Linked DNA regions of Macaca fascicularis. The protein of the gene in region 3 interacts with the protein of the main gene of each other region in a pairwise test. Links are inferred from orthologs where the notes say so. Each region holds a gene or a part of one and is shown on either strand. Other genes may lie near its edges. The genes, in order: MRRF, LENG1, BANP, CEP76, FHL5, FOXM1 and CAMK2D.

The links.
Region 1: the proteins of BANP (region 3) and MRRF interact in binary tests that used the Homo sapiens proteins (3 or more experiments, as listed by UniProt). The two-hybrid records come from large-scale screens. The link is inferred for Macaca fascicularis from reciprocal best matches to the Homo sapiens genes BANP and MRRF.
Region 2: the proteins of BANP (region 3) and LENG1 interact in binary tests that used the Homo sapiens proteins (3 or more experiments, as listed by UniProt). The two-hybrid records come from large-scale screens. The link is inferred for Macaca fascicularis from reciprocal best matches to the Homo sapiens genes BANP and LENG1.
Region 4: the proteins of BANP (region 3) and CEP76 interact in binary tests that used the Homo sapiens proteins (3 or more experiments, as listed by UniProt). The two-hybrid records come from large-scale screens. The link is inferred for Macaca fascicularis from reciprocal best matches to the Homo sapiens genes BANP and CEP76.
Region 5: the proteins of BANP (region 3) and FHL5 interact in binary tests that used the Homo sapiens proteins (3 or more experiments, as listed by UniProt). The two-hybrid records come from large-scale screens. The link is inferred for Macaca fascicularis from reciprocal best matches to the Homo sapiens genes BANP and FHL5.
Region 6: the proteins of BANP (region 3) and FOXM1 interact in binary tests that used the Homo sapiens proteins (3 or more experiments, as listed by UniProt). The link is inferred for Macaca fascicularis from reciprocal best matches to the Homo sapiens genes BANP and FOXM1.
Region 7: the proteins of BANP (region 3) and CAMK2D interact in binary tests that used the Homo sapiens proteins (3 or more experiments, as listed by UniProt). The two-hybrid records come from large-scale screens. The link is inferred for Macaca fascicularis from reciprocal best matches to the Homo sapiens genes BANP and CAMK2D.

The regions. Positions count from the first base shown.
Region 1 is NC_088389.1:35,718,160-35,721,659, reverse strand, and holds part of MRRF (ribosome-recycling factor, mitochondrial), read left to right. Parts: intron 1-2,918; 5' UTR 2,919-2,946; coding exon 2,947-3,130; intron 3,131-3,500. UniProt on the Homo sapiens protein: Responsible for the disassembly of ribosomes from messenger RNA at the termination of mitochondrial protein biosynthesis. Acts in collaboration with GFM2. Promotes mitochondrial ribosome recycling by dissolution of intersubunit contacts.
Region 2 is NC_088393.1:61,962,034-61,965,986, forward strand, and holds the start of LENG1 (leukocyte receptor cluster member 1), read right to left. Parts: upstream 2,801-3,953; 5' UTR 2,778-2,800; coding exon 2,646-2,777; intron 1,532-2,645; coding exon 1,352-1,531; intron 596-1,351; exon of another isoform or gene 499-595; coding exon of another isoform or gene 439-498; intron 355-438; coding exon of another isoform or gene 193-354; exon of another isoform or gene 183-192; intron 92-182; coding exon 1-91. Other genes in the region: voltage-gated chloride channel TMC4, read right to left, coding at 3,386-3,454, 3,547-3,625, 3,931-3,953.
Region 3 is NC_088394.1:83,878,931-83,882,430, forward strand, and holds part of BANP (protein BANP), read left to right. Parts: intron 1-235; coding exon 236-392; intron 393-3,500. UniProt on the Homo sapiens protein: Controls V(D)J recombination during T-cell development by repressing T-cell receptor (TCR) beta enhancer function. Binds to scaffold/matrix attachment region beta (S/MARbeta), an ATC-rich DNA sequence located upstream of the TCR beta enhancer.
Region 4 is NC_088392.1:80,750,057-80,753,556, forward strand, and holds part of CEP76 (centrosomal protein of 76 kDa), read right to left. Parts: intron 2,251-3,500; coding exon 2,122-2,250; intron 1-2,121. UniProt on the Homo sapiens protein: Centrosomal protein involved in regulation of centriole duplication. Required to limit centriole duplication to once per cell cycle by preventing centriole reduplication.
Region 5 is NC_088378.1:78,768,504-78,772,677, forward strand, and holds the start of FHL5 (four and a half LIM domains protein 5), read right to left. Parts: upstream 2,801-4,174; 5' UTR 2,573-2,800; intron 1-2,572. UniProt on the Homo sapiens protein: May be involved in the regulation of spermatogenesis. Stimulates CREM transcriptional activity in a phosphorylation-independent manner.
Region 6 is NC_088385.1:3,746,744-3,750,890, forward strand, and holds the start of FOXM1 (forkhead box protein M1), read right to left. Parts: upstream 2,801-4,147; 5' UTR 2,545-2,800; intron 1-2,544. UniProt on the Homo sapiens protein: Transcription factor regulating the expression of cell cycle genes essential for DNA replication and mitosis. Plays a role in the control of cell proliferation. Also plays a role in DNA break repair, participating in the DNA damage checkpoint response.
Region 7 is NC_088379.1:118,990,660-118,994,159, forward strand, and holds part of CAMK2D (calcium/calmodulin-dependent protein kinase type II subunit delta), read right to left. Parts: intron 3,326-3,500; coding exon 3,097-3,325; coding exon of another isoform or gene 3,093-3,096; exon of another isoform or gene 3,053-3,092; intron 1,582-3,052; coding exon 1,515-1,581; 3' UTR 1,486-1,514; intron 277-1,485; coding exon of another isoform or gene 273-276; 3' UTR 1-272. UniProt on the Homo sapiens protein: Calcium/calmodulin-dependent protein kinase involved in the regulation of Ca(2+) homeostatis and excitation-contraction coupling (ECC) in heart by targeting ion channels, transporters and accessory proteins involved in Ca(2+) influx into the myocyte, Ca(2+) release from the sarcoplasmic reticulum (SR), SR Ca(2+) uptake and Na(+) and K(+) channel transport.

The DNA.
Region 1 (3,500 bases), on a different chromosome or scaffold from region 3:
AGTGTTTTATATGCATAGTATAGCAGTTAATAACATAGACTCTGAAGCTGGATTGCCTGAATTCAAATCTTAGGCAGATTTTTGCTTCTGTTTTCTTATCTGTAAAGTGGGAATAATCATAGTACTTCAGGGTTATCATGAGGCTCAAATGAGTTAACGTGTGTAAGCCACTTAGAATAGTTTCTGTCACGTAGTCATTGTTATATAAATGTTAGGTATTGTTGTCATTATTGTTATCTTTTTAAAGCCTCATTAATATCACTATGATGATGATGTGGAAGCTGTAGCTCAGAGAGGCTAAATGACCTCCCCAAGGTCACACAGCTAGTAAGTGGAGGAATTGAGATTCCAGTTCCAGACTGCGTCCAAAGCTCAGACACTTCCCCACATTGCTTCTATGTATAGCTTAATTTTGTTGGCGAATACTTGGGATCTCAACAAATTTTTCTTCAACTTTAATTCTTTTATCTGTGCTGAACAGAATGTTAATTTGTACACCCTTAAGGTAAAGGACCTAAAGGACTGCCTTTATTGAACTTCCACTTTGAAATTTTCTGACTTCTGCGCAATTAAAATCTACGCCTTACGCGTTTCAGCAATGTGGTTTATTTATAGAGTTGTCTTCCGGTTCACGTGTACTGGGTCTGCTTTTGGGTGCTGCGTTTTCTGTCAAAGGTTGTTTATTTCTAACCCATTTTGATTTCCTGTTGCTTTGTGAGTTGGTATTATGACCTGCAACAGGAACACCAGGAAACCTATCTTAAATGGAGCAGCCAGATTGAGATCCTGTAGACTAAAATAAAAAACTACTCATTATTCTACAGCCATATTTGGTTGTAAGTATGAATTAGGCATTGGTTTTATTAGGGAAAAACCTAGATATAGAAACTTCACTCTGAGCCAAACCTCTGTGAACAGTTCTGCTAAAATAGAGCTTGGCTATTAGCTCCATGTCCTTGGACAGTGACTTAATCTCTCTGAACCTCAGTTTCAACGTCTGTAAAATGGGGATTATTATATGTTCTTTGCGGCATTATTGAGAGAATTAAATGAAATAATATGGGTAAAGCAAACAGTCCAAACTTGACCTCAATTAATAGTAGCTATTGATACTAATAAAGAAGAAAAATATTCCTTTTTTCATCAAATCTGTTTTTATAGACTTCATACACTGATCACTAACTTCTAGTATCCCTTACTATTAAAAATTCCATCAAGAGAAGTTATTTGTCTTTGTGCTACTCATTTGCTTTAAAAATAATAGCCATCATTTATTAAGCTGCTATATTCCTGGCACTATGTTAGTTGTTTACATGTATTCATTATTTCATTTTATTTTAAGTTCAAAGTTATTTTTATCATTGATGAGGAAAGTGATGCTCAGAAGAGTAAATTGCCTAAAGTTGAAATTTACATCCAGGTCTAATTGTAGGCTATTTTGTACATCATTATTAACATACAAGGTTTCTTTATTGTGTCTGACCCTGACATAATAGTTTTTGAGACCCGGCATAGTGGCTCACGCCTGTAATCCTAGCAATTTGGGAGGCCAAGGCGGGTGGATTTCCTGAGCTCAGGAGTTCACGACCAGCCTGGGTAACATGGTGAAACCCCGTCTCTACTAAAAATACAAAAAAATTAGCTGGGCATGGTGGTGTGTGCCTGTAATCCCAGCTACTTGGGAGGCTGAGGCATGAGAATTGCTTGAACCCGGGAGGTGGAGGTTGCTGGGAGCCAAGATTGCGCCACTGCACTCCATCCTGGGCAACAGAGTGAGACTCAGTCTCAAAAGATAATAAAGATAATATTTTTTAAAAAGTTTGAAAGAAAAGGTGATAGCTTTCAACAGGTATTATTTTGGGGGGCTTCTGCTGTTTGCTAGGTACTGTGTCAAGGGCTTTACTTGCGTAACCTCATTAATTATTCCCAACCCTAAGAAATGAGTACAATTATTCCCATTTTACAGTTGAAGAAATCAACGATTAGAAATATTCAGGAGTATTTAGTCAGTAATGGAGCTAGGATTGGCTTCCAGGTCTTCCTGACAGCAAAGCCCATGTTATTCATTCCATTATGTTGGATCAAAATTTTAGGATGGGATTTTTTAAAAAACATAAGATGTGGGACTGTTACTCAAAGGAAGCAGCTTCCAGGTATTTGATACTAATTGTTCTTAATTTTTAGCTGAGCCATAGCAACATTACTGGCAGAAGCTATTAATGATATATTTGTCAGTTAGCTAGGGCTGTGTTATATCCTGAGGTAGTTGTAGGCAATGGCATCTTTCCATGGTCAAAGACCTCAGATGTAGAATGCGTAACTTGTGTTAACACAGTAGAGAGTGGCATTTTCCAGAGCTCTAGTTTTATACCATGGAAGACCTCAAACCTCAATCATGCTTTAGACTCACATTAAAGGGCATCCTAATTGGTAATCAGTGCGTAAGGAACCAAAGAAAATTTTAATTAAATGCTGTCGTGTGAATTTTTCCAGTCATTTTATGCCTGTTGAGATGGTTTTCTTATTTAAAGTCCTCTTCTAGTGCTCTGCCTTCTCTCTTTAAACTTTATCAAGATTTTGTGCTTTTCTCATATAAGGGTTTAATTAGAATCATTAAAATTTTAGTCTGCTGCATATTTGCTTAATGGGCATTTTGGTGCAGTGGAAAGAACTTGGGGTTTGGAGTCCAAAGTGGGGAAGTTACTTAAATCTCTGTAAGCCTTAGTTTCTTCATTCTGTAAAATGAGGCAAATAATACTTTCTTCTAGGGCAGTTGGGAAAAGGATTAGAGATAATGTATTTAAATTGTCTAGTACTTAGCTCAGTTTATAGGAATTGCTTGATAATTAGTACGAATTATCTGAAGTTGCAATACGGTCTCTTTTACTTAGATCTGCTTTTTGTCTTATTCTTTTTAGTGGATGTTTCCAAGGATCGTCTTCAGTCATGGCCTTGGGATTAAAGTGCTTCCGCATGTTCCACCCTGCCTTTCGCAATTATCTTGCAGCCTCTATCAAACCCGTTTCAGAAGTTACACTGAAGACAGTGCATGAAAGACAGCATGGCCATAGGCAGTACGTGGCCTATTCAGCTGTACCAGTCCGCCATTTCGCTACCAAGAAAGCCAAAGGTAGAGACATGTGATGTTCTCTCCTACTTCGCCCCTTTCTTAAATTTGGCCCTTGAATTATAGCTGGCAGGTATCTCAGATGTACTGAATTTCTCCCCTTGCTAACATGAGGAAATGGGGCCTCAGCTATTTCATTTCATTAACTTAAAAGGTTACAGTGGCAGAGATGGTGTTACAACCCAGTGCCTGTTTTCTTATTACCATGCTGCCTCATTTGTTTTCTTAGTAGCTCAGAAAATGCCTAATTTCTTTCTTTTAGATTTAGAGTTAGAGGTATAAGTGCCAAGCGAGCCAGAATGCTTGTAGCAGGGATCAATATATTGTCTCCATATAGGAAGATACATGTTGGAAGTATAATTAAGACCAGAAG
Region 2 (3,953 bases), on a different chromosome or scaffold from region 3:
GGGGTAGCTGGTACCAAGGGGGTTGAGTCTGTGCCTCCGCTGCACTCTGGCCCAGGTATGTCAGGATGCCCAGAGCTTTCTCTTGCCTCTCCTGAGGGGGCCAGGAAATACAAGAGATGGGATATAATCTTTCAAGGTGTCAGGTGTGTCTCCCTGACATAGGAATCTAAGCAAACAGGTACCTAAGGCTTGTCATGAACCAGTTGTACCAGGTGCTGGGGATGGAAGACACCAACAGAGGCCAAGTTCCCCCTGGGGGGACAGTGGCAGGTAACAGCAGGGGAAGGAGGGGACAAGTGGAGCCACTTGAGTGTTCAGAGGCAGGCATCTTTGCAGAGAGACTTGAAGAGAAGCCTGAAGGGATCAAGCAAAGCAGAGGAGCCATGGGTGGGGTCAACAAGTCCAGAGACAGCAGGTGAGTGACAAGAGCTCATGTACCTGTTTTTTTTTGAGATGCAGTCTCGCTCTGTTGCCCAGGCTCGAGTGTAGTGGCACCATCTCGGCTCACTGCAACCTCTGCCTCCCAGGTTCAAGCAATCCTCCTGCCTCAGCCCCCCTAGTAGCTGGGATTACAGGCACGCACCACCATGCCCGGCTAATTTTTGTATTTTTAGTACAGACGGGGTTTTGCCATGTTTGGCCAGGCTGGTCTTGAACTCCTGACCTCAGGTGATCCATCCACCTTGGCCTCCCAATGTGCTGGGATTACAGGTGTGAGCCACCATGCACGACCAGACATACTTTTTACACTTGATCTTAGCCAAAAGGCAAGAGGCGAATGATTCGCCTTTTTTTTTTTTTTTCTTTTTTTTTTTGAGATGGGGTCTCGCTCTGTCACCCGGGCTGGAGTGCAGTGGCGCAATCTCAGCTCACTGCAACTTCCACCTCCCAGGTCAAGCGATTCTCCTGCTTCAGCCTTCAAGTAGCTGGATTACAGGCGTGCACCACCACACTTGGCTTATTTTTTTGTATTCTTAGAGATACCATGTTGACCAGGCTGGTCTTGAACTCCTGACCTCAGGTGATCCACCTGCCTCAGCCTCCCAAAGTGCTGGGATTACAGGCATGAGCCACAGCTGGCTGATTTACATTTTTAAAAGCCTATCAAGGTTTCAGACCCCTCCAGTTTTGAGAACTGAGCAGTTTGCCTGGCAGCTGGGGACCTCTAGCATCTACCTCCAAGCCCTGTGGGTGCCCAGATGGCAACACTTCTTAAGTGTCATGCTTTGGTATGGTTCTAAATTCTGTGTGTTCGTTCTCGTTTGACCTTGATCACAAGCAGTGGCTAAAGTGCCCTCTCCCCCCAACTCGATTCATGGCTCCTCTAATGAAGTGGGTGAGGCCAGCTTACTTTCTCCTGTCGCTTTTCTTCCTCGTACTCTTTATTGCCTCTGATCACTCCTTTCCCTTCCTCCAGCAGCTCCCGAAACAGGTCCACAGGGCCAGAACTTGGGGCTCCCGCCTCTGCTGCTTCAAGCTCAGGCAGTGAGTTCTGATGTCTGGCTTTCTTTCGTAGGAATTCTGTACGGGCCTGGGGAGAAAGTTATAGGCAGGGCATTCAGAACCTAGAGGTGATTCAAGAACTGTGAGTCTGGTGCCCACCACAGAAAATGGCAGTCCAGGGTGCTGGGGTTATAAGAAAGGGAGCACTAGACGCTTAAAAGAGGCACCTGTCCTAGCTGGGGGTGAGGGTAGGCAGATGAGGCAACGCCTGGGTTTTGTAAACTGCCTTTCAAATCGTAAACCACGGGTCATCAAGGATGGCTGGAAGGAGGTCCCTGGCCTAAACCAAAGGGGTTCCTAACCTCAAGTGAGACAATTAAAACAGCCATAAAGGTAGACCAAACTGCATTAGGCCAGACGATCTGAATTCTAGCCATGGCTCCAAGTCACTACCCCAAGTCGACTGCTGAAGCCCTGTCCCCCGCCTTCAGGACGCAGATTTCAAACAGCGCTCAGCAGCCTACTGAGATTCTAAAAACCCAGACTACCTCCCACCCACTGTGGAGGATCAGACTAGCTAAGGAACTGAAAGTTGGGTGTACACCAAACAGATTTAAGGAGCCATACAGAAAGCCCGTGTTTGTGTGTATGTGTCTAGGGGGCGGTGCAGGAAAGGGCTCGCCCGATGGCGTGGAGCCTGGCTGTCCCCCTCTCCTTAAATGTGCCTTCCCCTCACTGAAGCCATCTCACTCCGTGCAACGGAGATGACAGTGCCCCTCTAAGAACGAACAGTGCCTCCTGGGGATTCCGCAAGTCAGGCGCTCTGCATGTAGTTAGCATACAATAGGTGCTCAATAAATAAACTGCGCAGGCAAACTAAAAAGTGATCCGAATTTCCTTGAACTGTCCAAGCGCTCATGTATTCATTAAATGTTTTTAAGCTGCTCTTTTGTGCTAGACACTGTTCCAGCCATGTGAAATACATCAGTGGGGGGAAACTAAGACGAAGGCGAGATCAAGGGAGGTTTCGTGGAAGTGGCCACAAGGTTTGCAGAGCAACGTCCTCGAAAACGGGATCGGCGCCTGGTCCCGAATTTCACACGGGGCACACTGAGCCTGCGCAACGCTTCCGCTTCCGGCCCCCAACCGCGGCGCGTGCGCGCTGGGCTCCGGCGGTCAGCCCGGCCGGCCTCCGAGCTTACCTCTTGCTGAGCCAGCAGCGCCCTCCGCTCACGCTCCTTCTCCTCCTCCCGGGCCTGGGCCTCGTCACGCCGCACGCGGGCGACATTGTCCTTGTTCCGGACGTGCCAGCTCTTCTTGGGCAAGATATTCATGGCGTCGTAGCTGTCCAGGGACTGGCACGCCCGCCTCTTTGCACTTCCGATTGGCGAGAGGATGCCCCCCTTCCTCTTGTCCCTACTTCGACCGCAGATTGGTTCCGAATTAGTTGGTACGGCCCCCTGGCCTGTAACGACAGGTGATTGGCTGAGACGTCCTTTTCACAGCGAATGTTAGGCGTTCGGCTCGTGGTATCCCCTAGCAACCGCCTCTTATCACAGATCTGAACCAATCATAAGTTGGCCCGCCCCGATGCTACCAGATGCGGCCGTCGATTGGTCGACATGACCGTCAAGTCTCCTTGCGGAAGTGCGCTCCGCACCGACAAACATGCCCATACATTTGATTGGCTCCTGCCCTGCGGTAGCCCTGCCCCCACCTTCAGGACGCAGATTTCAAAGCGCGCTCAGCAACCTCGGCTGTATTTATTGATACAAGAAAGATCACCCGAGAGTCAGGGACGTGGCGGCGAGGGGCCCTGGAAATCTCCAGATACCAAAGCTGGAAGGGCGTGGAGTCTTCTCCAGTTCTCCTAGTTTACAGATGTTGTGACCTAGGCTTACAATGGGCCTGGGGTCTGAAAGTGGGGCGTGAGCTGCGGGGGTCAAAGAGCCGGTTCGGTGGAGGTCAGCGCCACAGCGCGCCGTGCCAGGAAGACTTTATTCTGCGCCTCCTGCGGCAAAGAGAGGTGGAGGTGTGACAGCCCTCTTCCCCAGCCCCTCTCCGTGTTCCCCGGGGGCCCTCTCAGGGACCCGCCTGGCTCACCGTCTCCCTCTGACGTTTGAGCTCAGAGATGAGGCGTCCGTAGGAGTTAGCCCGAGCCACAGTGTACGCCATCAGGATGCTGGAGGAGACAGGAACGGAAGCCACTCCTGACACGCTCTTCGAAGTCAGGGATGTGGACCCCTAAGTCCCTCCTCGTCCAGGCTCAAGGAGTTCAGTCTCCCAGCACCTCCGCGTTCAGATCCAGGAGTCCTAAGTCCCGCCCACCTCCTCCTTCGGACCCAGCAGTCCAGGAGCCTAGGCCTCCTCCCTCAGACTCAGTACATCGCCTGCTCCCACCCCCAAGCCTTTCCTCTCTTGGACGCAGGTGGTGGCCCCCAGATCACACGCATTCAAACCCAGACCCAGAAGTCTGGCCCACCTCACCTGGAGATCAGCAGAAGGGGCGC
Region 3 (3,500 bases):
GCCCTGGGTGACTTGTCCAGTGGTTAAGGAATGAGGCAGCGGGTGGCGTTTTCAACTATTTGTTAATTTTCAAAGAAACTTACCTTTTGGTGGTTTGAGGCAAGAAGAACCCTGCATGTAAAAATCCACAGACATTCTCGGCCTCTTGCATACATGTGCACGGCTCGTGGTTTTCATCATTTCACATGTGGCGATGGTTAATGTCCTCTCCTCCTCCTTTGCTTCTGTTTGGTAGGTGACCAAAAGCCAGCCCCTCTTCGAGTGGAACTCTTGCGTGTTGACCGGCCACTCTCCTGTGCTCTGGATGATGTCTGAACACGACCTGGCGGATGTGGTTCAGATTGCAGTGGAAGACCTGAGCCCTGACCACCCAGGTACAGAGCTGTGGGACAGTAGGTGAAATATTATTCTCATTACTCTTGAAAAACCAAAAGCTGCTGCAGTTATTTTCTTTTCTTTAAGCAGAAGTGAAAGTAATGCATGCTGTATATGAAAAAGTTTGAATCCTAGAGATGTGAACATTGTCGGCCCCTCCCTTCCCTCGCCCCTGCAGCCTCAGCCCCATGTTCCTTCTGGAGGGGGCCCCTGTCACACTTTGTCTCGAGGGCTGTCTCTGCTCCTGCTGCTCGGGTGTGTGTGTGTGTTCTACACCCTCTCCCCTGCCCCATCCCTGTGTGTGGCGTCGTGGATCCTTACCATGTTGTGTGTGTAATCCCCTGTGTGTGGCGTCGTGGATCCTTACCATGTTGTGTGTGTAATCCCCTGTGTGTGGCGTCGTGGATCCTTACCATGTTGTGTGTGTAATCCCCTGTGTGTGGCGTCGTGGATCCTTACCATGTTGTGTGTGTAATCCCCTGTGTGTGGCGTCGTGGATCCTTACCATGATATATGTGTAATCCCCTGTGTGTGGCGTCATGGATCCTTACCATGATATATGTGTAATCCCCTGTGTGTGGCGTCGTGGATCCTTACCATGTTGTGTGTGAAAAGTCAGCTCTGTTAGCAACTCCGCAGAATTCATTCACAGGTGCCCCCTCCACAGTTGACTTTTTCCTTCAGGGGCTCCTGGCATAGTCTGTCTGATTTTTCCTTTATACACAACCCTATAGGGAAGATCCTTGCATATGTATCTTGGCAAATAGAGAAGTTCCCAGAAGGAAAATTGCTATGTGTGTTTAAAATTTTGTTAAGACACTGAGAGGTTCTCTAGAAATGTTTTACTAATTCTTCCACTCACAGTGCTTGAGAACACGTTTTTTTCTACACCTTTGCTAAGGCTGGTAATTTTAAAAAATGATGTTAAAGGCACATGTCTACTTTGAAATAATAAACTTGTTTAAAGGAGACCCTTGAGAAATGAAACCTTAAATTTCAGGAACTTCACCTCTTCATCTGTGAAAACACTTTGTCCACACTTACTGTTTTAAAGAGATTTCTTCTTCGTCGTCGTCTTCTTTTTTTTTTCTGTAAAGTGGCATGTGTTTTATTGTTCTGTTAAGTTTGAAGTGACAAGCCCACCACAGCTAAGTCACTGAATGTTTCGGTTGCCTGGTTATTCTTTCAGGAATGTTCGAATTGAAAGGCTGACAATTTATTCCTCCAGAAGAGAGAATTTTCAGAACTCTCATAAGGAAGTCTGATGTCCATTCCTATGATCTGTTTGCTCTGTTAGTCGAGAAAACTACATGTGGAGACTAGTTGTAGTCTGGAAGGGGAGGGCAATAGAAATAGTTTTGGGGTGAGGTGAGCAGTCCCAGGGGAACATGAAGGCAGCATTTCAGGAGTGCTGTTGGTTAGTTTTCCACACGATCACTGCACATTATTTTACAAATCCCTGTTTCTAGTTTAGAAGGCAAATGACAGTTTCTTTAGAAAACATACACTGTAATCTTGTAAAAGAAAACTGTTCCAGTTACATCATTTCCAGTGATTTCAGAACCATTAAAGTTCTGACAGCCTACTTCCCCAATAAATCTCTCTTTATAGACCGTGGCCCAAAAAAAGCTTAGAGAAATAATTTCGAATCTTGATTTTGTTCCATCTCTGTTCCTTAAATGCCTGAGAACTATGATTTCTTGAGTATTTGTTAAAAGCCTACTGTGCGCAGAGCTCCTTGGCCTGCCCAGTACAAAGCCTGCAGTCTGGACCCAGGAGAAGGTGTGCACAGCTGCAGGTACCTTGGTGTGTCACGCATGTTTGCATTCATTGTGGGTTTAAAGTACTTTCCTCATCTCAAAAGTATACATCTAATAAAGTTTAACAGGATAGTCAAGAAAGTAGAAGAAATAAAAATTTTCTACAATCCTACTGGTTGTAGCAGCTTTTAAATTGTTGATGTGTATGTCTTTCCAATTTCTCCTTATTTTTATTTAAAAGAAAGACTTCTAGGATCATCTGACTTGATGTGTACCGACCATGGCTTGTGCTAACTCTACCTGTCTGAATGCAAAAATTGTGACTTGCATAAGGCCTGTCATTGCAGTTGATTGATTGTGATGTCTTTATTTATTTATTTGTTTATTTAAGACAGAGTTTTGCTCTGTCGCCAGGCTGGAGTACAGTGGCATGATCTTGACTCACTGCAACCTCTGTCTCCTGGATTCAAGCGATTCTCCTGCCTCAGCCTCCCGAGTAGCTGGGATTACAGGCGCCTGCCACCATGACCGGCTAATTTTTCTATTTTCAGTAGAGACAGGGGTTTCACCATGTTGGCCAGGCTGGTCTCGAACTCCTGACCTCAGGTGATCTACTCACCTCGGCCTCCCAAAGTGCTGGGATTATAGGCGTGAGCCACTGCACCCAGCTTGATGGTGATATTTTAAAAATGAACAAGGAGTTATTTTAATTCTAAAAGTAATGCATACAAAATTATAAAAAGCAACACATACAAAAAGCAGCAAAGTACAAAGAAGAAAATAAATGTCACTTGCTGTTCCATTACCTGTGGAGTCATTACTGGAGTTACTGCATGCCTGTCTGCTGCCCTTATGACGAAACTAGCTCTGTGACCCCAGAGAAGTCCCGTAACCTTTCTGGACTTGTTTTCTTCTCAACAAACTAAAAAGTTAGAGTAATAAGTGCGAGGGTCTCTCTCTGTTCTTCCAGGCCTGGTGTGATGACCAGTTTCCAGTGAGAGTAAAGAGCCTTTGACTGAGGTCCTGGGAACCTTTGACTAACCACAGGCACTTGCGGGCATGGAGTTTGAAAAGTTTCGTTACGTGAGAATTCATCTGCAAAGGCTTAGGTGGTGATGATTGATGCGCTCCCTGCCTCTGAGGAGTCATGAGGCCGAAGGCAGGGCCATGTGCTGCTTGTGAGCCGACAGTAGTCCTTGGCTTTGGATAATTTCCCACTGGGTAGATCAGATTTGACTGCTTTTGCCTAGGACCTGTGAGAGGTTCCTGTTAGAACTGTGGGACAATTCTGCATCTTTAAGTTTCAGAGTTTTGAGCGGAATCATCTAGTGGGTACAGGCTTAAAGGCACGGACCTTCTTTTTTG
Region 4 (3,500 bases), on a different chromosome or scaffold from region 3:
CTAACAGGCAAGAAAAGATGAGTACATAAGAAGTGGAAGCATTTGCCTAAGTCAATCATCAATAGTAGCATCTTAGAATGTAAGATACATCATTTTATTATAGCAATATTCTAATATTATCTAAATATATCCCCACAAGCTAAAAAATAAAAAATCGTTAACCAAGTCAATTGAAAGCAAAATTTCAAAAAACACTCTAGAAAAAGTTTTACATTCTAAAGGCAGGATATATCTGTATATCATCTATATATATTTACGTATATTTCATCTATAAAAGCAATATTGTTTTTATAATTAGATTGCTTTATATTGTTGTTCTTTAATTTCATAACTAGTCAAATACAGGAAGCAGCAGCAAGAAACAGGTCTGGCGAATCTAAATTAAATCAGCATTTTATTTACTCTGTGTATGGAAAGAGGTGGCACAAACTAAAAAGGCACCAGTAAAAACTCCAGTTTAATACAGGCTTTGCCATGACTGAGTTGCTGTTTGGCCTTGAAAAGAGCGTTCTCTTCTCTAACCTTCATACTGTTTACAAAAAGAGCCAATGCCTGGCCACTTGACAATCTTATATGGTTACTATGAGACTAAATTACCTTCTATGGTTCAAATCTTACAATGAATTCTCAGAGAGTGGAATTCATTTAAGTAATATTTCGTAAAAGAAAACCCCACGTCCTCGACTTCCTTAGTGCGTCGCAACTTTTTCCTCCTCTTTGATCCTACCATTTCTCTGATTCACTGCCTTACTCCATCCTGAGTCCTCTCTAGTTCCTAATTCCACATGGCAACGAAGAAATGCCTCATTTATATAGACAGCACGGAGCCAGTTTTTAAAACACATATCTGTGTTTATTTATATATGTGTGTATATTTTTTGTCGTTGTTATTGTCGTGAGACCGTCTCACTCCGTCACCCAGGCTGGAGTGCAATGGCGTGATCTCGGCTCACTGCAATCTCTGCCTCCCAGGTTAAACAATTCTCCTGCCTCAGCCTCCTGAGTAGCTGGGATTACAGATGCCCGCCAGCACGCCTGGCTAATTTTTGTATTTTTAGTAGAGACAAGGTTTTGCCATGTTGGCCAGGCTGGTCTTGAACTCCTGACCTCAGGTGATCCACCTGCCTCGGCCTCCCAAAGTGCTGGAATTACGGGCGTGAGCCACTGTGCCCAGCCAGGAAGCCAGTTATATTTTGATTGGTTTCTCCTTGCCCTTGTCCTGATATTGCTGTTACCTTGCCAACCAGTCATTCAATATATAAACAACGCTATCAGAAAGTCAGAAGCCATTTCCCTTATTCCCACCTCTAGTCAACCTCTCATTCCCAAGCTCCCCATCTGGAAACTAAACCACTTTTAGCCTGTTCCAAAATCTAGGGAAAGTAGGGTAAAGCTGGATGGATGCACAGGATCAGAGAAACTTAATATACTACACTATACTTATATGAAAGCATCTATATGAGGCTGAATATATACAAAATATTTGAACTGTTCCTTAGGAGTTACAAAAAATAAGTGACCCTGACCATATAATTTATGTTGGTCTGTAAAAGAGAAAAAATGGGTTTAGGACTCAGGAAAAATGGAGGCAGAGATATATAGTTGAAATGCTTCAGTTAAACATTACTGGTCACTGGCTTAGAGGTCATGGTTATATAGAATTTTTTTTAAAACCCTAACAAAAAAAATATATATGCCCAGAGCCCCCCGGTTCTGCACACAAGAGCTGGATTTACATATAACCTGCAGAGTGTCCAAATGGTTAATTATTTAGCACTAAATATCAAGCAAATACACATTCCAAGTTAAACAAAATGGATTTTCATCTACTTTAAATCAAATATATTCAGAAAGGGTTTAAAACACAATAACAGATTCAACCTGAGAAAGCTGATTTTTCAAAAACCCACAATAATTGAAATTGAAAGTAAAATAAGACATAGATTGATCTTGCCACTCACCTATGCAGTTAAAGAAAATATTACAAAATCAGCATTTTATTTTACAAATACACTTTTATTTTTTGGAATACATTTTACAAATAAATATTAAACGAAATTTACACACGTAACAGTAAATCTCAAATACAGGCATAAAATTATTCTAATATAATTTACAAACCTGTGCAAAAATCTTAACGAGTCGTGAGTTGTGTGAGGGTCGAATTTGCAAATATTCTCTCCACCACTGCTTGGCATATACAAGAAATAATCGCTCTTTCTCTGCAGTTTTCTGACGTTCCAAAGCAAGCTTGAAATTTAAAAAAATATTTTTCAATTTCTATTCATTATCCTTAATTACTACCAAATATGTAACAAATTTATCTACTTCTCTACATCATTACCACCCTAATCTGAGTCATCATCATCTTCTATAAGAGCCTTCTGACTTCCCTGTTTCTACACTTACCCCTAGTCCAAGCCAGTCTCCATACAATAGTCATAAGTCACCTTTTTTTCCTCCCAAGACAGAATTTTTTTTTTTTGGTTGGCGGGATGCAGTCTCGCTCTGGCGCCCAGGCTGGAGTGCAGTGGCGTGATCTCAGTTCACTGCAACCTCTGCCTCCCACATTCAAGCAATTCTTCTGCCTCAGCCTCCTGAATCCCAACACTTTGGGAGGCCAAGGCAGGTGGATCATTTGAGGTAAGGAGTTCAAGACCAGCCTGGCCAACATGGTGAAACCCCGTCTCAACAAAAAATACAAAAACTAGCTGGGGATGGTGATACATGTCTGTAATCCCAGCTACTCAGGAGGCTGAGGCAGGAGAATTGCTTAAAACTGGGAGGAAGAGGTTGCAGTGAGCCGCGTTCATGCCACCTTACTCCACCCTGGGCGATGGAGTGAGACTCTATCTCAACAAAACAAAACAAAACACACTGTCATTCTCTTGTTTAAAACACTTCATTCTCGACCGGGCGTGGTGGCTCACGCCTGTAATCCCAACACTTTGGGAGGCCGAGGAGGGCGGATCAGGAGGTTAGGAGATCGAGACCATCCTGGCTAACACGGTGAAACCCCGTCTCTACTAAAAACAAAAAAAATTAGCCGGGCGTGGTGGCAGGCGCCTGTAGTCCCAGCTATTCGGGAGGTTGAGCCAGGAGAATGGCGTGAACCCGGGAGGCGGAGCTTGCAGTGAGCAGAGATTGCGCCACTGCACTCCAACCTGGGCGACTGAGTGAGACTCTGTCTCAAAAAAAAAAAAAAAACAAAACAAAACAAAAAAAAAACTTCATTCTCCATCACATTGCAAAATACCTGCCCGGCCTATGAACGCTGGCCTGACTATCTCATCTTCTCCTCTCTCTCCAGCCCACTACACTCCAGCCACACGACGCTTTCGTTCCTCCGTAGGGGCTTTTGTTCTAGGCTGTTCTCAATGCTGGAAGCTCAGCCCCAATCTTTGTGTGGGTGGTTACTTCCTGCCGTTCAGACCCTTTCCCTACCTTAGTCACCTGACCTATGATCAGTCACCCAATAACCACTATATCATATCCGCTGT
Region 5 (4,174 bases), on a different chromosome or scaffold from region 3:
ATGCGATAATTTGTTGTATACATGTATACAAACATCACATTGTACCCCATAGATATGTACAGTTATATGTCTATAGTAATAATAAAAGCAAAAAAGAAAAAAGAAGAAAATTCTTAGAAGTCATGTGACTTATGACATGTTACTTAAATTGTTTTATGAACAATTGTAAGAAATAATTAAACAGAATCAAACTGGAAAACAAGCCCCAGAAGCATATTTCTCCACTCCACTTCCACACCACCATCTTTAGAGGATTACAATTGCAATGAAATTGTAAAAATACAAAAAGGTATATTTTTAAATGTGAGGAGACAACCTGAATTTATCAAAATAATCTACTCAGGATCCATTTGGTAAATACTCCTTTGACAAAATGAATATGCAAAGGAATAGCTCAAAGCTTTGCTAAAAATCAAGTGAGATAAATTTAAGGTCCATTGGTGCTGGAAATGCAACCGAAGAATTTGAGAAGAAAAAAAATAAAAATGACTACTGTTATTATTATTCTAATATAAAATTCTGTAATACAGCTGTTTTAATTATATCTTTAAGGTAGGGAGGCAAACTCACCTGCTCTCATTCATAGAAAACTCAGCATGAATGACACTTCAAAACCTTGACTGTCTTCTCCACATCACACTATTGCTTTCAAACAGACTCTCTATCTTTATTTATTTAATGAATGTAAACCTTGCTGTTGACATACCCTAGTATGTTCTAATCAGGGTAATTAGCCCGTGTGAAAGTTTAGACATATAGTAAAGATAAGGTAAATCCAAACCCATAAGAATGCTTTACTAGTTCATATAAAATACTAGGGTATATCATCAATAAGCTTATTATTTATTTTTATTTTAAATAGAGTCTCCCTATGTTGCCCCAACTGGTCTTGAACCCCTGGGCTCTAGTGATCCCCACGACTTTGGCCTCCCAAAGCTAGGATTACAGAAGTGAGCCACCATGCCTGGCCTCAAGCTGATTATTTTGCAGGGATTTGAGGCATGTTGGGCAAAAAGGAGTCCTCCTTCTCCTCCTCTTCCTCTACCTCTTTCTTCTCTTCCTCTTCTTCAGTGAGCTTTCAAGGGTACCAAAAAGCAACCAAGAAAAATGATGGTAATTGGAGAGGAAAAAGATAATTACGAGAACAGGGAAATGCAAGCTGGTTTAACTAATATCTGATTCAGAGCTTCCCATGCGGACCCAAGTATTCAGCTTTCATTTCTAAAGAGATCATATCCCCTCAATTGAAAACATAAAAATAAAAACAAATTAAAGCATCTCTAAATATTCTAAACTCTTATTTGTAATATTTTAGTAGAAAAGTACCCAGTCTTGTGTAATAAATACAAATTAATTCAGCTTTACTCAAAATGTTGGCAAGTGTAATGAAAATAAGAGGTAAATTTGTCAGTGAGGTGGTGTTATATTAAAACACAAATCTGCTACTCTTGCTTAGGTAGAACAGTCCCAGATTTGGCAACTAATGATAATGTGAGAATAAATAGAACAAGTGTAGAAAACAGACACCACAGTTTACCTTCCCCTTAAAGCAATTTGGATTATGGCTTTAAGCATATATCATAACACATATGTTAAGAAATATCTTGTATGATACATATGTTTGCAATACTTATGTTAAATTTTAATCCATATGCTTTGCTAATAAAAATGCTAGTATTTACACATGATGGTATTGTGGATACGAAATGAGGGCTAAAAGAGCTCAAGGATTTCCTTACATTTTATGTATAAGAGCTATGCATTTTGTTAATAATTCTTTTTAATTTCCAATTTTCTGAAGTCTGAAATGACAGCCGAGGAGCTACATTTGGTTTTCAAATGAATGATAGGTACCAAAGAGGATAGGACTAAAATAGTGAGAGAGAAAGCATTAACACATATGGCGTGTATGCTTTTTGCCTGAATAACACTACCTCTGTTTCAAGAAGTAGCACTTTAAATTGATAGAGTCTATTATATATTTCTGTGGGCTGGAAACACAGATATTTTAATTTAACCTTAGGAAACCTAAGATTATGAATTTTTGTATGCCCACTTCTGGAAAGTAGGCAGATTTTTCTTGAAAATAGCAGGAATCTCATTAACTCCTTTTACTTAAAACCTGTAAGTGACTTCAAAATGTGCTCTTGAAATATAAATCTAGTCATAAAATATGCTAAGTGATAATATTATTCATTCAAATAAACGAAGGCAAATAAAATCTCAAGAGCCCTCCTCTTCTTCCTCTTTTTACAACAATAAAGCTGTACCCTGCATTAAAACCATTAGAGAAACTCAAGAGACAATTCCAAGGAGTTATCTGGCACTATGTAACCTCCACACGCAAGTTATGAGAATGATAAATCTGAAAAGCTCAGCATATAAAATTTGATAATCTTTAGCTAAAATGGCCAAGAAACTTCAAAAGGCATACACTTTTGCCAAGCAAAATTTTTCTCTTAAGGAGTTACTGGAAAGTTTATAAAAATTTCTCATCCTTAAAAAAAAAAAATTAGAGAAGTCGAAATACCACAAAACAAAACAAAGGAAACATTTGGGGGAAAGAACTCACTTTGTCTTAAAGCCGCTTCTTCCTGTAATTTAAACAATACAAAAGGAGAATATATGTTGATTATTTTTCCTCCAATCCATATGCGTGTTAACTCCCAAAGGAACAGAAAGTCACCAGCACCATCTGAAGATCCTTTCCAACTGCATGTAGCTTTTTCAACTTTGCGGGAGAAAACAGAAGGGTCCCTGCATTTCCTCCAAGTCTTACACCATGTGCATTACTCCTACTGGGCTGAAAAAGCACTACTTGTCAATTTTTACTTGAAACTATGAGTAACAAATTCTCTGCAGGACATCCTTAAAGGGAAATTCTGCCAGGATTAGCATTCGAAGTATCTGGCTAAGCTCCAAAAAGTTTAAAATACACAACGTTCACACAGACACATACACACTTGAGAAATTTCCACTAACTAGGCTAAATTAAGGGCATATTTATAAAAATAATGCTCTAAAAGCATGATGTATTTTCTGTTTCCTCAATCTGTTTTTGGCTTTGTTTTCTTTGTTTTCTGGTGGTGATCAGAACCTTTCTTTTAGGTTGGAAATGTCTGAACTGCTGAGCTTTTCTTTTGGACTGTCTGGAAAGAGATGAGGCCCCATGCTCTTACCTGCAAAGCTATTGGTACCTTGAGAGATGACCCCCTGGGTTGTGGCCTCTATCACTGCCTTCTTGGGAAATTGGGGAAATCTGAGACATAAGTTTGAGTAGAGTACTCAAGGTAGTTCCCTGCTCTCTGGACTTGCAGTGTAGGCCCAGCCTTTCCTGCTCTGCCTGCTTCCTGGTGAGCTGGCCACAATTGTGACATCACATCCATGGCTGTATGACTTCATAAAGCATAAACTCATTGGGTTTTTTGAAATCTTCGAAACACAAAAAGTAGACAGCGATGTCAAGAGTTGGATCTGAAGAAAGTTTTGGATATTAAACCAATCCACAATAAGTATTCTCAGAGGGGCACACTGATTCATAAAGCAAGTGACATTTTCTCTTAGAATCTCCATTTGAGGCCATTTCTTCAGTTTGGAAGGCAGGATGAGAGAAGAAATTCTGCCTTAATTCCAGACCAAACTTAAACTGTCCTTGTTCTAAGTGCTAAAGGAGTGAAATGTTAGTATCTTCTAAGGTCAAACTCGGGTATATACAGTCAAAGAACTTGAGCTAGGGAAACGCAGAGCCAGTTAACTGTGTGTTTTGTTATTCACTTGACTTTACTGATTAAGACATTATGAAAATGAACATATGGTGATTAACAACAATAAATTTGGATTCAGCAAAAGGATATAAGTATATTTCATTAGTAATAGATTTTAATCCTTAGGACACCATTGCTAAGCAGGTACTAGCTGTATTTTCCTTGTTTTATGGGCAAGGAAAGCAGTCTTTGAGATGTAAAAGTGCCTGGGACCATCACCCTCTTCATTTGTTCCCCTGCTTCCTGAGAGGGTAATCTACATTCACCAAGTCATTCCAAATCTACAACATTCTGAGTTTCCTTCTCCCTCCCAACTTATTACAATCTGTCTTTCACTTGAACCACTCCAAAAAAGCTTCATTAAGATCATATACAACCTTGATTAGCAACCCAAAGAGCATGGTCTTTAG
Region 6 (4,147 bases), on a different chromosome or scaffold from region 3:
GGCTAAAATTACAGCAGACAGAAGCAATTCAAAGGGTAAAAATGGGACTGGGCTGGAGATAGACAAAGATCTCCTTCTTGAAGCTTCAAAATATTTAGCTACAGAAGTGGATGGGATAGCTACAAATATGTGGAAATCTCTATAATTGCCTACTATAATATAAATAGATCACTTGCAATGACTGTATGGACAGGAATGGAAGATGCTAGAATAGGAAAGCATATGGTAGTTAGGAGTCCTGACAAAACTCTGATCCCATAATCCATTCTAAGATAAAGCCTTTTAATTTTTTTTTTTTTTTTTTTTTTTTTGAGACAGAGTCTCACTCTGTCACCCAGGCTGGAGTGCAGTGGCACAATCTCAGTTCACTGCAATTTCTGCTGCCTGGGTTTAAGCGATTCCCATGCCTCAGCCTCCTGAGTAGCTGGGATTACAGGCGCCTGCCACCACACCCGGTTAATTTTTGTATTTTTAGTAGAGACAGGGTTTCATCATGTTGCTCAGGCTGGTCTTGAACTCAGGTGATCCACCTGGCTTGGCCTCCCAAAGTGCTGGGATTACAGGCATGAGTCACCGCAAGTCACCTGGCCAAGCTTTTTAACTTTTATGTTACTTTGTAAATAGGACCAGTGCACACAGAATCAGGGAAGAAAGGCAGATTGTACTATTGCCACACTACTGGAAAAATCATCTCCCAGTTTACAAAACCTCACATAAAATGGAAACCTCTATTGAAGGCCCATGTAAAGCTGTGCAGCTTGTTCACTGAACAACTTTAGAGGGTGACATTTATTTCACACGCTATTATACTTGCTATAATTTAAAAAGAATGTGTTCTTTTACAATTCGTACTGTATTTATACAGTGGCATTTTAGTACTTGCATGTGGTTATACATATTTTAACTTTCTAAGCATGCCACTTTATTAATTTCTTTTCCAGAAATAAGACTGTAACCCCTGTCTCCTTACCACCAGAATGAGCTATCATCAATACACTAAGGTGGTTCTGAAATGCTAACAGCATAGTCTTTTTTTTTCTTTTTAAGTCTTTTGTTGATTTTTTTAATTTTTTTTTTTTTTTTTGAGAGGAAGTTTCGCTCTTGTCACCCAGGCAAGACCAATGGCGCGATCTCAACTCACTGCAACCTCCGCCTCCGGGGTTGAAGCGATTCTTCTGCCTCAGCCTCCCGAGTAGCTGCAATTACAGGCGCCCACCACCACGCCAGGCTAATTTTTATCTATTTATTTATTTTTAGTAGAAACAGGGTTTCACCATGTTTACCAGGCTGGTCTTGAACTCCTCAGATGATCCACCCGCCTCGGCCACCCAAAGTGCTGGGATTACAGGCGTGAGCCACTGCACCCAGCCTTTTGTTGATTTTAATAGATACATGGAATACTCTACCATTAAGCAAAATTGTATAATTCTATTTCATGGAACTTTGGGAGACAGAGGAATTGGCTGTCTCTTTTTTAGGACACTTATTCTCTCCCTGAAAAGCAACTGTAATTTTTTGACATTTGTCATCTGCAGAGTTCACAGGCCCGCCACACCTCTACCTCCAAATCTCAGTTTTACTTTCTTTTTTTTTTTTTTTTTTTTTTTTTTTTGAGACGGAGTCTCGCTCTGTCGCCCAGGCTGGAGTACAGTGGCCGGATCTCAGCTCACTGCAAGCTCCGCCTCCCGGGTTCACGCCATTCTCCTGCCTCAGCCTCCCGAGTAGCTGGGACTACAGGCGCCCGCCACCTCGCCCGGCTAGTTTTTTGTATTTTTTAGTAGAGACGGGGTTTCACCGTGTTAGCCAGGATGGTCTCGATCTCCTGACCTCGTGATCCGCCCGTCTCGGCCTCCCAAAGTGCTGGGATTACAGGCGTGAGCCACCGCGCCCGGCCAGTTTTACTTTCACTTCAGATCTTTCCAGGCTTCCCTCTCTCCCCGCATCGATCAGTAGATATTATTCCTCTTTTTCCACAGGATATCTAGGTCTTAATTTTTTCTTCTACTTTCTGACCAGCCTGATATTATTATTGCCAACACTTTCTTGCCCGGGAAACTTCCAGAGTGGTCCTCTGAGCCATCTCCATCCTGAGCGGGGAAATCTTGCTACATTCTCAGGACCCAGGAGAAGGGCCCTGCAAATGGGTAAGACGGAGGCAGTGCTGCCTAGTGGTGAGAGCCTGGGAGCAGGGGAGTATGTGTGCAGGTTGGTCTTTGACTCAACGTAGTACAATTGTGCTCAGTGTTCATCTCAGCCGCAGCCGGCCTAAGAAAGGCCACCCCAGCCCTCCCGAGGCCGTGGGCAGCGTGCAGAGGTCAGACTTCCAGGGAAGGCCAAGGGGCGCTTTAAGTAATGAGACGGCCCCGGCCAGGAGGTTGGATGCAGAAAACATTTGCACCCGGGCTCAGATTCTTCCCGTGTGGCCCAAACCTCCACTCGTGGCCCGTGCCCTGCTGCCAGACGCCCTGACCTCCGCGCCCGGAGGCCTCGCTCCCCGCCTGTGCCCAGGCCAGGCCCGGGACTCCATTCCTGTATCCCGCTCACCTCCAGACTGCAGTCGCCGCCGCCGTTGGGCCGTGGCTCCGAAGGCGGGCTCCGGGCTCCTCCAACCTGCGGGCCGAGCCAGGGCCCCCGGACGGGGGCTCGCGCCGGACCGGCCGGGTCCCCGGCGGTGCGGGCCGGGTGGGAACCCCGGGGGATCCCGGGAGGGGAGGGGGTCCCTGGCCGGGGCCGGGGGTGGGGTCTGGCACCGGAGCTTTCAGTTTGTTCCGCTGTTTGAAATTGGCGCCGGCGGAGCGTTAAGGTCACGTGACGGAACGTCGCCAATCGGCGCCGGCCTTGTCTCGGCGTTCCGGGCTCGAAGGCTGTGCGATCTGACAGGAGCTGCGGCCCAGTCCGGCCCGGGCTGGTAAGGCGGGCCGCGGGCCGGCTTGCGGGGGAAGAAGTGGCCGTGGGGCCTGGGAGGGGCCGGAGGGGTCCCCGCCGCGTGGGTGGGCGAGCGGAGGGACAGTCTGGGGACGTGCGGAAGCGGCGCGACAGGCCCGGGTCCCTGGGTCCGCTTTCCCTGCCGCCATAGTCACGCCGGGCGACACGCCCCCGCTTCCCCTCGGGCTGCTCTGCTCCCCTCTTCCAAGGTCGGCTTCGGTTGATTTCCTTCCTGGGGAAAATCGTACCCCGTTTTCGTACAGTGAACGATCGTCTGCTCCCCCCGATTAGACTGAGGGTTCTTTGAGGGCTGTGTATTATCTCAGCTTTCTTCCATCTTGAAAAAAATGTCGGCCCCACGAACCCTACCTCTGCGCGAAATCTTCAAGTACTGACCTGTCTTTGGCTCCTCCCAAAGCCAAGCCTTCGGCTATGGTAGACGGTGGTGCTTTCTTTATTTACTTAGTCAACCAGTCTAGTTGAGCACCTGCTCTGTGCCAGGTCCCGCCAGGTCCTGAAGATACAATGGCAGACAAGGTTCTTTCCTTCCCCCGGGCTCACAGTCCAATCGTGGAAAAGGGGCACTGATATTTTAAAAGAATCAAATAGTCCCGGCGCGGTGGCTCACGCCTGTAATCCCAGCACTCCGGGAGGCCGAGGCGGGCGGATTACCTGAGGTCAGGAGTTCGAGACCAACCTGGCGAACATGGTGAAACCCCATCTCTACTACTAATAACAAAAAAAATTAGCCGGGCATGGCGGCACATGCCTGTAGTCCCAGTTACTTGGGAGGCTGAGGCAGGAGAATTACTGGAACCTGGGAGGCGGAGGTTGCAGTGAGCCAAGACTGCACCGCTGCACTCTCCAGCCTGGGCAACAAAGTGAGACTCTGTCTCTAAAAAAATAAAATAAAATAAAATAAAATAAAAGAATCAAATAAACAAATGTGGGCTGGGCATAGTGGCTTACGCCTGTAATCCCAGCACTTTAGGAGGCCGAGGCGGGTGGATCATTTGAGGTCACGAGTTCGAGACCAGCCTGGCCAACATAGCGAAACCACTTCTCTACTAAAAATTAGCCGCGCGTGGTGGTGCATGCCTGTAGTCTCAGCTACTCTGGAGGCTGAGGTGGAAGGATGACCTGAGGCCGAGAGGTGGAGGCTATGGTGAGCCGTGATCACACCACTGCACTCCAGCCTGGGTGACAGAGGAAGACACCGTCT
Region 7 (3,500 bases), on a different chromosome or scaffold from region 3:
TTGGAATATTGTGGATTTTTTCTTTTTGTCTAATCTCCCCCTATTGTTTTGCCAACAGTAATTTAAGTTTGCACGGAACATCCCCGTAGTTGAAGTGTAAACAATGTATAGGAAGGAATATATGATAAGATGATGCATCACATATGCATTACATGTAGGACCTTCACAACTTCATGCACTCAGAAACATGCATGAAGAGGAGGAGAGGACGGCCCAGGGTCACCATCCAGGTGCCTTGAGAACAGAGAATGCAGAAGTGGCACTGTTGATATTTAGCTGAAAGGAGAAAGGGAGAGGAAGAAATAAATTATATTGTTTTACAAAATATCATCAAATTGCTTTGCCATAGATTTGACTATGCTACAGTTTTATAACTTGGCTAACAAATAGATTGAGAACACTATGTATAAGAGATGTTTGCTTGTGATCATTACAGGAAGAAACACACAATGTTACACAAAGACAGTATTAAAATAGAAAATGAGTATTAATTATTTTTTCACACAAAGCTAAGCTAAAAATAAAGAGACAGGGACCCAGGCTTCAGTCACGTTATTAAATCTAAGTATACATCTTAAGCATTCCTGTTTACTGGACAAATTAGTAAATGAATATAATCTTTTTGCTGAAATAGACTTAAAATTCAAGTTCATCCTTAGTTTTTGTTATTATTATTAGATTCCTTGGGAAATTAAACCTAGAAGTCAATTTAACAAGGAATATAGTCTCAAAAGTAGAGAGAACATGATTACTCTCTTTAATTGGAGCTCTCCTTTGCTGAAAGCAACAGCTGGGAGCACTATTTGTTAAAAGCTCTGATAAGGTTTAGTTCTCTGAATGAGGCAAATATTCACAACAGCACCATACATATCTGAATACTTGTAACCCAAGTCTAAGAAACAACTAATTAAAAACAACAATAAAAGCATGAAGTTAATTACAGTCAACTTTCAATTATCCTCTGGAATTACCCACTTTGTGAGTTTTAAATTTCAGCTTGACTCCTCCTGTGGCCTGTGCTCATGGTCAAGCACCATTATACTCAGTCAGGCACAGCAAATTGATTTACACATTCACCATAGCCAGCTGCTTATAGAATTGCAACCTCTTGAAAGAATGGTTAAGACACCAGAGGATTCTAAAGCTTAATATAAATTAAGTAAGGATAATTGAGAGTTATCTGAACTGACCTAGACATAATTTACTTTTGATGTGAAAACTTCAGGATTCTAACATGACATAATCCACATGTTGGAAAAAATTCATTTCAATGTTTATTACCTTTAAAATAAGGATTATGCTACCAAATAGGGCTGAATGTTAGATTCAAAAGCTCATGCAAAATTGCTATGAATTTTCAAAGACCGTGTATGTTTTTCATTGAATATTATGCAAGAAAAAATATCCTCAAAAGGAAGGAAAACAGCCATGCAGCTTTTCATTCAGCTCCAATCACAAAGTATCACGGAGCAGGATGTTACTTACAAGACCCATATGTGAATGATTTTCAGGCCTTAGATGTTTTGCCACAAAGAGGTGCCTCCTGAGAAGTTTTCTTTCCCATTTGGAATACAGGGTGGCCTATTAAGAGAAGCCCCATTTAAGCCACCTGGCATAAAATGAAGTTTTCTTGAATAGGCTTCATCCCATAAACACTTCAGGGAATTGTAAAAAAACCTAACCCTCTGGTACTGTATGAATGTAACCCCTTCTATATTAACTGGTGATTTGTGCTGTACCTCTTTGGGGTAAAAAACACACAAAAACAGGTGTCTTCATTATCTTCATATTCCTCTTGTGTTTTTCTCTTAATTACATAGCTATGGTTTTGGGAATAAATTTCAGCCTATCGTTTGGTTTTGTTTTTTTTTTTGTCCCTGTTGACCCACTTTTTACAAATCCAACAGTGATATATAAGTAGTAAGTCTATACAGAAGGCCTCTGAAAACCACTGTGGTATGTTATCAAACTAAGAAATCATGATGGATTCTCTGGAGTGAGTTGAATGGCTGTTTGTATGAACCCCCATTCCAAATCCCAAATATTAACAGGTGATCCTGGTGAGATAATTCGGAAAGAGATCAACAGTGGACCAATCTTCTACACTGAGTTTAAACGCTTCTTGTTTTCTTATCACTCCACTTTACTAATAAACCTATTTTCAATTATTCCTCTTTACTCTAGTTGTAACCGGCATTCCTTACCAATAATGTTCTCTCATATTAAACTAAATCCTGATATTGTACTTTTCTTCACGATGCTCCTTTAGCCTGGACTATTCTCCTTTGTTTTTTCTATCTTTCTATGTCTCTAAATTCTACTCATCATTTAAGATTTTGTCCAAAATTCTATCTTATACACAAAGTGTACTTCCAAACTGTTATAAACAGTTTACTACACTGTTCATGAATTTTACTGTATTCTTAAGTTGATGATAAAGTTTATTATATCATTTTTTTCTTTAGAATCAATGATTGACTAAATGAGAATGCATGTTCCTTGAAAGCAATATCTTTTACCTTGTGTTGAATCTGGCGCAGGTTAAGCACCTAGGAGATTCACAATAAATATGTGCCTAATCGCTGACTGGAAAAGCAAATGATATCTGAGGTAGAGTGGTGAGGTGAGAACGACATTGCACTACCTGACAATGGCCTTTTAAAAGGGTCTCTGTAACTGAGCTTTAGGGGATCGTCCATGAAATGAAACTCCTGATAATATATTGGCCATTTTAGAAACTCCACCCTATGCTTTCCTCTGATATCCCCTTCTGTCAATTGAGAAAATGAAGTCACAAATATTTTGCCTTATTATACAAATCCCCTAGATTTAACACTGTGAGATTTTGATATGGTAGTCTCTAGTCCTATCCAAACCTATTGTATACTGCTCTATAGCAAGTTTCAACCCACAGATGGCTGATCTGATTGATCTTTCCAGAGAATCATAAACCTTTCCCGTGAAGTCATTTATTTTCATCAGTGTAACCAACTACTAGCATTAAATAACATATACCACGCTATTAACAATGGAATAAGTAGAAGAAGCTGACCATGGGTGTATTAACAAAGAAGCTGACAGCCTGGGAATATTTACTTGATGGGTACTGTTGGTGACCCCGAGCGATGAAAATGAACATTCTGCCACTTTCCATCCCGACGGTGCCACACACGAGTCTCTTCTGACTGCATTGTCTTTGGCATTCCACTGCCATCCATGTACTGTGTGAGCCTAATATACGCTATGCAGGCGGCATCATCCCCTACCAGGTGTACATGAGGGTTTAGAATAATAGTGTGGATTGGTTTATTGCTTTTGGACAAAGCTGAAAGAGAAAAACATGAAAAGCAAAATTTAGTTTCTATGTAAAGGAAACTAAAACCAGTAATAACTTCAGTTAGGACCAATACATGAAATGCCATTTATTCAGTCAGTAATTAATTAGTTAATTAATCTACTATTTATACTAATCTGGTACTGGGCACTGTACAAAGCAAGGA